2 linked regions of the Mus musculus genome follow. The main gene of each other region encodes a partner of the protein of the gene in region 2 in a complex. Links are inferred from orthologs where the notes say so. Each region holds a gene or a part of one and is shown on either strand. Other genes may lie near its edges.

Region 1 (4,329 bases), on a different chromosome or scaffold from region 2:
TCTATTCCCCAAAGTTGTCCTCTGAGCACTCACCTGGTCATGAGTGCGTGCTCAGCTCACACACACACACACACACAAATCTGGAACCAGAATTCTATCTTGGTAATTACTGAGGTTGCTTTGATTCCAGCAAGTCACTCTTGGTTCACCTTGGTTCTTTCAAGTCCTCTGAGGCTAAAACTTCAAGGCCTACAAACCACTTTCCAGACTTTTCTTTTTCGAGACAGGATCTAGCCTGGAACTGGCCATGTAGACCAGGCTGGCCGTAAGCTCATGATTTGGATCTGCCTGCTTCAAAAAGCATGCACCCCCACCCCCACCCCCCCACCTGGTTCCAGACTTTTCGTATAGCTCTTTCTTCTAGTCTTAATTTCTTCTTCTTATGGCCTTTTATTATTACTTGAATACCCACTCCCTTTCTAGTGTCTTTCAAAATACTATTTCTCTCTCCACTCAGTTCTTGGCTCTTGCATTTGTGCTACAGAGGTCACACGGGCTGAATGAGGTTCAACACTTCTCCGACTTTTGGTACAGCACCCTCACATTCAAACCACGTCCTCCGCCCCTCTCCGGGCCACCCAAAGATCTCAAACCAAAGCAGAGCACTGATAAGCCGGGGGCGTTTCACAACAGAGATAAACTGGAAATTCTTTGGCGCTCCGGCATCCTGAGAATGGCTCTGCATCATCTCATAACTTACTTCTTGTTCTCTTAACGCAAGGACAAGGCATAAAGAGAACACTCTACCCCACTTCAAGACCGACAACGACCCTGTCAATCCTTTATTCAAGCCCCATTCACACCACTCCGGAACACGGAATAGCTCTTACAGCAGTTCCTTGGGCAAAATATCTCTTGCCAGTTCGGAGTTTACAGAATGAACGGAAACGTCCTTCGGCCGACTAGGAAATGAAAGAGTTAAAGATCGACAACCTGATGGATTCTGGGGTTTTCCTCCCTCCACGCCACAAATTAAAACGACGAGGAAGGAAGAGTTTGCCCAATGTAAAGATGAAAACGGTTACCTTCAACTGCCAGACTTCTGCCCCAAACAATCATGGCTACCTAATCCCACACGAATGCCGCCTACCTAACTAAAAAGGTCTAGCCGAAGGTTTCACCACTGGTGCCGTCTCCTGCCCAATTCCAAAATGGCGCTGACTGGCCTCACTAAGAGTTTCGAGCTTCCCATGATCCTCACTGGCCTAAAGGTCAGGTGACGCAAGCCTCAGCCGGAAGTTAAGGAATAGGCGCTTCCAGCCCGCGGCGCTTGCGCAGAAGGCTCTAGACGCTGAGAGGTAGGAGGCACTTGGGATCGTCCGCAGGGTTTGGGACAGCTACAGAGGCCGCCACGGAGCCCGCCGGAGCCCCCGTTCCTGCTGGTGCTGCCGCCGCCCGAATCGGAACCGTCGGGCTGCAGCCGCCGGCAATGCCGCGAAGGAAGGTGAGAAATGGCAGAGAAGGGATGGCGGGTTTCTAAGGGGAGTCGATTGAGTAACGTGACGCGGTTGGCCACGCCTCGTCGTGCTTGGGTTCCAACTTTCTGGTCCCCCGAACCTAGCCTAGCTACTCTGTCTCCTCTCGGTACCAGACAGAAAAATGTGGGCCCGACCCTGGCCTCGGCCTATGCCTGTAACTATTCCCGCCCTCTGCTTGCCCGGATCGGAGGCGTTCTTGTTAATTGGTCGCGGAAATGTCTAGAAGCGTATTGATTGGATGGTGACGCCGCCTGTTTGGGCCCAACGGTCACCTCCCCGCGTGCGTGGGCGGTGTCTCGGTCTGGCCCCGGTGCTCTCCGACTGGCTGTGGCGAATGCTCTCCCTTCTCTTTATTGGCCCAGCTTTGCAGTCTGTTCTTGTGGCGGGTGCGGCTTAGCAAGGCCTGGATTGGGGCGACCAACGCCCCGCCCTTCCGGATAGAGATGGCGATAGGTGTTGTAAAGGCGAGTTGGGAAGACCACTTTCCTTTCCTGGTGGGGGGATTACAACAAAGCCGAGGATGGGTGGTTAGAAAGCCAGCGCCCACCCCCAAGGGATAGCTCGCAGGCCTGTTGCGTCTCAGTCACCGTCTTCCACCTATTTGTTCAGTTTGACATTTCCTGGTCAGTAAATGTTTGTTGAACTGTATGACATTTGCCCCATATGTTCAGTCGTAAAATGCAAAGAGCAGTGTTACGTGCTAGTTGCTAGGAATTCGAAAAGTATGCGTGATCACTGGCTTAAAGGGTTATCGCTGTTGAGAGAAGAACACAAAGAACCATAGTTCATACAGTCTCTGCTTGAAATTGTATACACTGTAAGAAAGCCGTTAACGTGGGAAATAAGTAAAGAGCTGATTTTCAGGGTTAAGCCAGGCAGAATTGATAGGTCATGGACGGGTGTCAGGGTCTTTGGCTGAGATGACCCTAAAGTTTGCCTTTTAGTGACATTCTGTGCCTCTATTTACTTGTGGTCAGATTTTTGAATGAAATATTTGGATGGATAGACGGTTGGTATTCATATTTCTGCAGAGATCACTCTTCATGGAAGCTTTCCAAGTTAAATATTTACATTAATGTCTCTTGCAATGACCAGAGTTGACAGGTAGTATTTTTTTAAAAGATTAATTTATGTATTTTATGTATGTGAGTACACTGTAGCTGTACAGATGGTTGTGAGCCTTCATGTGGTTGTTGGGAATTGAATTTTTAGGACCTCTGCTCACTCAGGCCCAAAGATTTATTTATTATTATACATGAGTACATTGTAGCTGAGTTTAGACGCACCAGAAGAGGGCACAGGTGTTTGTGAGCCACCATGTGGTTGCTGGGATTTGAACTCAGAACCCTCGGTAGAGCAGTCAGTGCTCTTAACCTGCTGAGCCATCTCATCAGCTCGACAGGTAGTATTTATATCCAGGCATACCAAATACAAGAGACAGACCTACTGGTTTGTTGGAATGATCTAGTCTCCTTTTAGCAGTTTCCAAATGTAAAAGTGGAGAATGTAAATTCTTCCTGGATGTTATGGTACAAGCCTTTAATTCCAGCACTTGGGAGGTGGATCTCTATAGTTTGAGGTACACATGGCTGATATGCTGGGGTGTCCTGACTCAAAAAGAAGAAGAAAATGTAAGTTCTTGCTGGGTATAGTGATACACACCTGTAGTTCTGGCATCCTGGAGGCTGAGGCAGGAGGCTCATCTTGAGCTTAAGGCAAACCTGGGTTATATAATAAATTCCAGGCCAGCCTGAGCTAAATAGCAAGAACCTATCTCAAAACCAACAAAACCCAAATGTAAATATGTTGGTAACTTGGTTGATGGCCAATCTGTCCTAATCTATCCTTAGGTTATTTAGTTTTTTTATATGCCTCATGTAGTGTGATACTAAATTTCTGTTTGCTAGAAAATATTAATGTTTTTAGTGTGGGTTGTTAATCACAGGATATATGTGTCCTCTGTAAGAATCTAGTAACTCCAAACATACTTGGCCCCAGGGAGCTTATTCTTTGAATAAAGCGTTGGGGCCTGGGACTAAGCTATAGCTCAGTGGGGTGTGGTTACTGCCGGGAAGCCCTGAGTTCAGTCCTTCGTCTGTCCCACTCCCTTTTCCTGCCAAAGATAGTAGGACTGAGTTTGAGGAGTTGTAGTGATTTCAGCAAGTACTCTTTGTCCAGCTTAGAAAAGAGCACGTGTCAGTGCTTACTAGGTAAAGTAATCTTCATGGCTCATCACCCTTCCAGAGGCCGAGAGTTATGGCTAGGGTGTGGCATGCGTTTTTCTGAGAACCTGACACGTGGGGCTGCAGGGATTGTTCAGCTGGTCAGAGTACTCATTGCTCTTGTAGAGGACTGGGTTCCAAGCACCTTGTTTCAAGCCTCACAACCGCTTATGACTCCAGTCCCAGGTGACTGGACAACCTCCCTTGACCTCCGAGGGCGTGTATGAGATCAATATACAGGCAAAACTTTCACACATACAGTAAAATAAATCTAATTTTTAAAAAGCCCGGTTTGAATACCTATTTAGTTTTTAGTATAAATTCCTTTCCAGCAGCACTTATAACATCCATGTGGAGAAACTTTGAGGACTGATGGTTAAGAAAATAATTTGTATCTTTTTTTTGGTTAATTTCTTTCAGTGGGTAAGAGCACCCGACTGCTCTTCCGAAGGTCCAGAGTTCAAATCCCAGCAACCACATGGTGGCTTACAACCATCCGTAACAAGATCTGACTCCCTCTTCTGGTGTGTCTGAAGACAGCTACAGTGTACTTACATATAATAATAAATAAATCTTAAAAAAAAAAAAAAGAGCTCCTAGAACTGGAGCTCCAGGTAGTTGTAAGCTGC
Region 2 (4,349 bases):
ACAGTACTCTAGAGGAAGAGAAAAAAGGATCCGCAGTCAAAGGCTGGGCTGGGTTATGTTTTGCCTAATGAACAAAGATTCCATACCCAGCACAGAATAAATTGGATATAGTGAGTGACATAGCCTATAAACCCAACATTTGGGAGGTAGATCAAGGTTTATGCAAACATTTGAACTAACACCCAAAGAAGTGACACAGATGCCAGACACATATGTAAAAATGTGCAACACAAACATATTGTTAGGAATCATGAATTAAGATAATTTCACCTCTTCGAGAATAGCCCAAATCTACAATTCTAACCCTTCATCATGCTGGTGAGGACGTGGAGCGAAGGAGACTGTCAGTGCAGAGGAGAAGGCAAAAACGGTGTGGAAGATAGCTTGGCTGTTTCTCAAGAAAGCACTCTACTTTTAACATGAAGTCAATATTTACCCAAATGGGTTGGAAACTATGTCTGCACACAAATGATTGTATCAGCTCTAGCCACATTTGCCTAAATATGGAAGCAGCTAAGATGTCCTCCAACACGCAAACTGATAAACTGGTAATTACACAGTGAAATAATTTTGAAGTAAAAAGTGAATTATCAGTTACTTACTAGGACATGGAGGAACCTGAACTGTATAATGATAAATGCAGCCAGTCTGAAAAGACTGTGTACTGTAAAATGCAACTACATGGCATGTTAGCAAAGCAATACTACAGAGACTCTAAAACGTTTATTGGTTACAAGTATGCGTGTGTGTGTGTGCGCGCGCTATTGTAATAGACCAAAAGAATTAAAGGCAGTGAAAAATATTCTTCAGGATGCTATAAGGGGGATACTTAATACTTCTCAGAAATATTAGAGCCCACCAAGAGTGGACTCTGGTAAACCCTGGATTTTAGTTATATTGTTTCATTAACTGTAACAGAGTTGCCGTAGGAATGTAAAATGTATTTTTGCAGGCATCGAGGGGTGCGTGGCTTCTTCACGAAGTGCGAGTCAAAGCAACCGAGGTCCAGCGTGGGCACGCCCCCCTCGGGACCAGACAGCCACAAAGAGCATGGAAGTTAACCGATGCCTGTGAGGGGGTCTCCTTCCGGGAGGCCCCGTCAGCCAGGAGAAACCACAGGCAGCGGGTGTCTGAACAACGCGGGAAGAGCGGCAGGTGTCGGCTGGCAGGTTTGGCGCCAGCACACGTGCAAGCGGAGTCCCCTGCCAGGGCTTGGAATCCGGCTGGGCCAGAGACAGAGCTTCCACATTGCAAACTGCGAACCGAGCACATCGCCCATCCGCGTTCCCTCAGGGCAAGCCCCACAGCGCCGCCTGGCGACCACAGCCGGCCGGAAGCCTAGGGGTGGCCCCTGAGTTGCCCCGCCCACTTTCCGGCCAATCGGAGCACGCGGCTCATGAATAGTGAGCGCGCGGCGCCGCCCCGCCCCGAGTCCGCGGCACCGCCCGCTCGCGCAGACCCCGAGCGTGGCCGAGGCGAAGATGGCGACTGCCATGTACTTGGAGCACTATCTGGACAGTAAGCACTCTGGCCGAGCCGCCGCCCGCGCGGGTTCGCGCCGCCGCCGCCGCCCCCGGCCCACCGCGATCCGTGCGAGGCTCCGGGATGCGGAGGAGGATGGGGACTGATCATGGGGACTGTGGGGGCTCACGGCGGGTCTGGGGCGGGGCCGCAGATGGAGGGCGTGGGGCGCGGCGCGGGGTCCCGCCGCCTCCGCCGCGCCAATTCCAGGTGCGTCACGGAGGGGTGTGGCCTGGGGCTCAGCCCGCCTTCTCCGCTTCGGCCACACCCCCGACGCTGACCACGCCTCTGTTCCCGCCTCTCTACTTCGGTCTAGGTTGCGGGGAGGCCCGCCCCTTCTTCACCTGCGGCTTGTGGTGCTCAAATCCCTCTGTAGAGCCAAAGCCACTGTGTTTGCTTGTGGAGCTGTAGGAAGGAACTCTAGGCTAGTGGGGTGCCTTTTTCGAGGGAACTCGTGCTATCACGAGCCAGCCCGGTAAGGGAGGATGCTCTGTATAACGGGTTGACCTTTGACATCCCAGAAATTGGCAACTCCGTTTATTTATAGACCGTGAGATTGGCTCCCAGCAAGAACTCGGAGGAGGATTATTTCCCACTCTATAGTGGAAGAATTGAGACCCTTTGGAGGGAGGTAGATCAAGCCAGTGGGGCGCCCATTTTCTCCTTGGGCCTGGGCAGTGGGACTCCAAGGTGAACTATCTTTATTCTGATGTCCATCCAGTGGGCATTCTGAGGAGGGTTCAAGGAGAGTTCATTTCACTGCTGACATTGTGTGATGGCCCCTTTCTGCTCTCTCCACCTGCCCTGTGCCACCCATGCGTTGGCAAGAGCCCTATTTCTCTACAACTCACTGATTAGTTGGGGTACACACACACACACACACGCACATATATATACATATATATATATAGCTCCCAAGATTAAGGCATGGGGTAAATATAGATCCAGAAACTGCTGATAAAGGTCTCTCTATCTGAGAGTAGAGAGGGCGACTGGAGGGTAGAAGGTTAAGTAGCTGACAGGGTCGCTGGAGTCAAGCTGTAGATAGGAATGTCTTGGTGAGCTCAGGAAGTTATAGGCTTAGAACAGCAAGTTTTATAAAATTTAGCCCTAAATTGCTGGCCTTGTTGGCTGTGGAGATATTTGAGTGCAGAAAGACCCAGAGAGGCAGCTGGAGCCTGCTGTAAACTTAAGGACTGAGGTGTATCTGTACTAGGGGATGCAGTGTGGGGCAGAAAAGCCACATGGGTTGGTTTGCCAGCCAGCTCACTTGAACCGCAGGGACTGGTGAGCTGCACAGTGGGACCTGCTCGGTGCTAATGGCTGCCTTTCCAGTGCTCATAGCAGTGTGTGACTAGAGACTGGTATGTTGGGCCTTGCCGAGAGAACAGTGTCTTGAGACCACATGGTCTGCAGCTCCTGGCATTGTAGGAATCTGGACAAAGTTGGAGAGATCAAGGAGGACTAAGGTTCTGGCTTGAGTTTGGGAGGATGAAGTTCACTGTGTGTGACATAGAGGCGAGGGAGGGTGTGGTTCAGGGGAGGAGTCTGAGCTGTCTTCCCGGCCTGTGTCTGCTGGGGGCCAGGTTTCTGCATCCTCCAGCTTTTGGCACTTCTGAAACTGTCAGCCTGTTGTGCTCACTGTTTGGTACCTTCCAGCCCCTACAAAGTCTTAATCATTTGGTCCCCAAACTAGGACAGAAATAGATGAAGCCTGCTGTTGTAGGCTTTGGTGTAAGGCCCTGTATATTTTATGTATATGGGTGTTTTACATGTGTGTCTGTGTACCACATGTATGCAATGCTCTCCAAGGACAGAAAGAGGGCATTGGATCCCTCAAACTAGAGTTACAGATGGCTGTGAGCTTTTTTGTGGGTGAGAGTTGAACTTGAGATTACTGGTAGAGCAGTAAGTGCTCTTAACAGCTGAGCCATCTCTCTCTCCCATCCATGGAGGCAGGTTTTTGTCTTATTGAGAAGTATAGCAACTTTCTTGTCTCTTTCAGGCATTGAGAACCTTCCCTGTGAACTTCAGAGGAACTTCCAGCTGATGCGAGAGCTAGACCAGAGAACAGAAGGTGGGTATAGCCTGGGCTGGGTTTTCACCAGAGAGAGACAGGAGCGGGCGTGGGGTGTCACAGGGCCCTGAAGGGACCTTGTATATTGGAGGGTTAACATTGCACAGTGTCTTGGAAGGAGTGCTGGTCCTTTTTTTGTTTTTTGTTTGTTTTGTTCTTGCTATGTACTGGCTGTGTAGGCCAGGCCAGGCCCAAACTCGGATCCACTTGCCTCTACCTCTGGAATGCTGGAATTAAAGGTGTCCACTATCATGCCTAATTTTTGTGTTTGTTTGTTTTGAGACAGGGTCTTACTCTGTAGCCCAGGCTGGCCTTGAACTCTCAGTGCACCTTCCATAGCCTTCCACGTATTTGGGAAGGAGGAGCAATGCTGATACTTTTAATTCAGGGTTAGTTTCTTGTAGGGTCAGCCTTGGGTTCAGACCTCATCTTCCACCTTATTTGAAAGGCAGTCTCTTGTCATCTTCACTGCTGTATATACCAGGCTAGCTGGGATTTTCCAGTTTCTGCCGCCCATCTCCAGTAAGTGCACTGGAATCGCAGAAGCACGTCCTACCACACTTGGCTTTTAAGTGCGGTCCTTGAGGTCCTAGAGGACTCAGGCTTGTGTCCGTATGCTCTCATTGCCTCTGAGCCATCTCCCTAGCCTATCTCTTGTAGCCCTGGCTGGCCTGAAACTCGCTCTGTAGCCCAGGCTGGCCTCGGACTCAGAGATGCACCAGCCTCTGCCTCCCAAGTGCTGGGATTTCAT

Evidence for each region.
Region 1: Ing5 (region 2) and Kat7 share a complex: the UniProt entries of both Homo sapiens proteins name them as parts of the HBO1 complex. The link is inferred for Mus musculus from reciprocal best matches to the Homo sapiens genes ING5 and KAT7.

Annotation. Positions count from the first base shown.
Region 1 is NC_000077.6:95,307,150-95,311,478, reverse strand, and holds the start of Kat7 (histone acetyltransferase KAT7), read left to right. Parts: upstream 1-1,232; 5' UTR 1,233-1,429; coding exon 1,430-1,444; intron 1,445-1,780; exon of another isoform or gene 1,781-1,921; coding exon of another isoform or gene 1,922-1,942; exon of another isoform or gene 1,943-2,101; intron 2,102-4,329. UniProt on the Homo sapiens protein: Catalytic subunit of histone acetyltransferase HBO1 complexes, which specifically mediate acetylation of histone H3 at 'Lys-14' (H3K14ac), thereby regulating various processes, such as gene transcription, protein ubiquitination, immune regulation, stem cell pluripotent and self-renewal maintenance and embryonic development.
Region 2 is NC_000067.6:93,802,522-93,806,870, forward strand, and holds the start of Ing5 (inhibitor of growth protein 5), read left to right. Parts: upstream 1-1,443; 5' UTR 1,444-1,481; coding exon 1,482-1,518; intron 1,519-3,526; coding exon 3,527-3,598; intron 3,599-4,349. UniProt on the Homo sapiens protein: Component of the HBO1 complex, which specifically mediates acetylation of histone H3 at 'Lys-14' (H3K14ac) and, to a lower extent, acetylation of histone H4. Component of the MOZ/MORF complex which has a histone H3 acetyltransferase activity.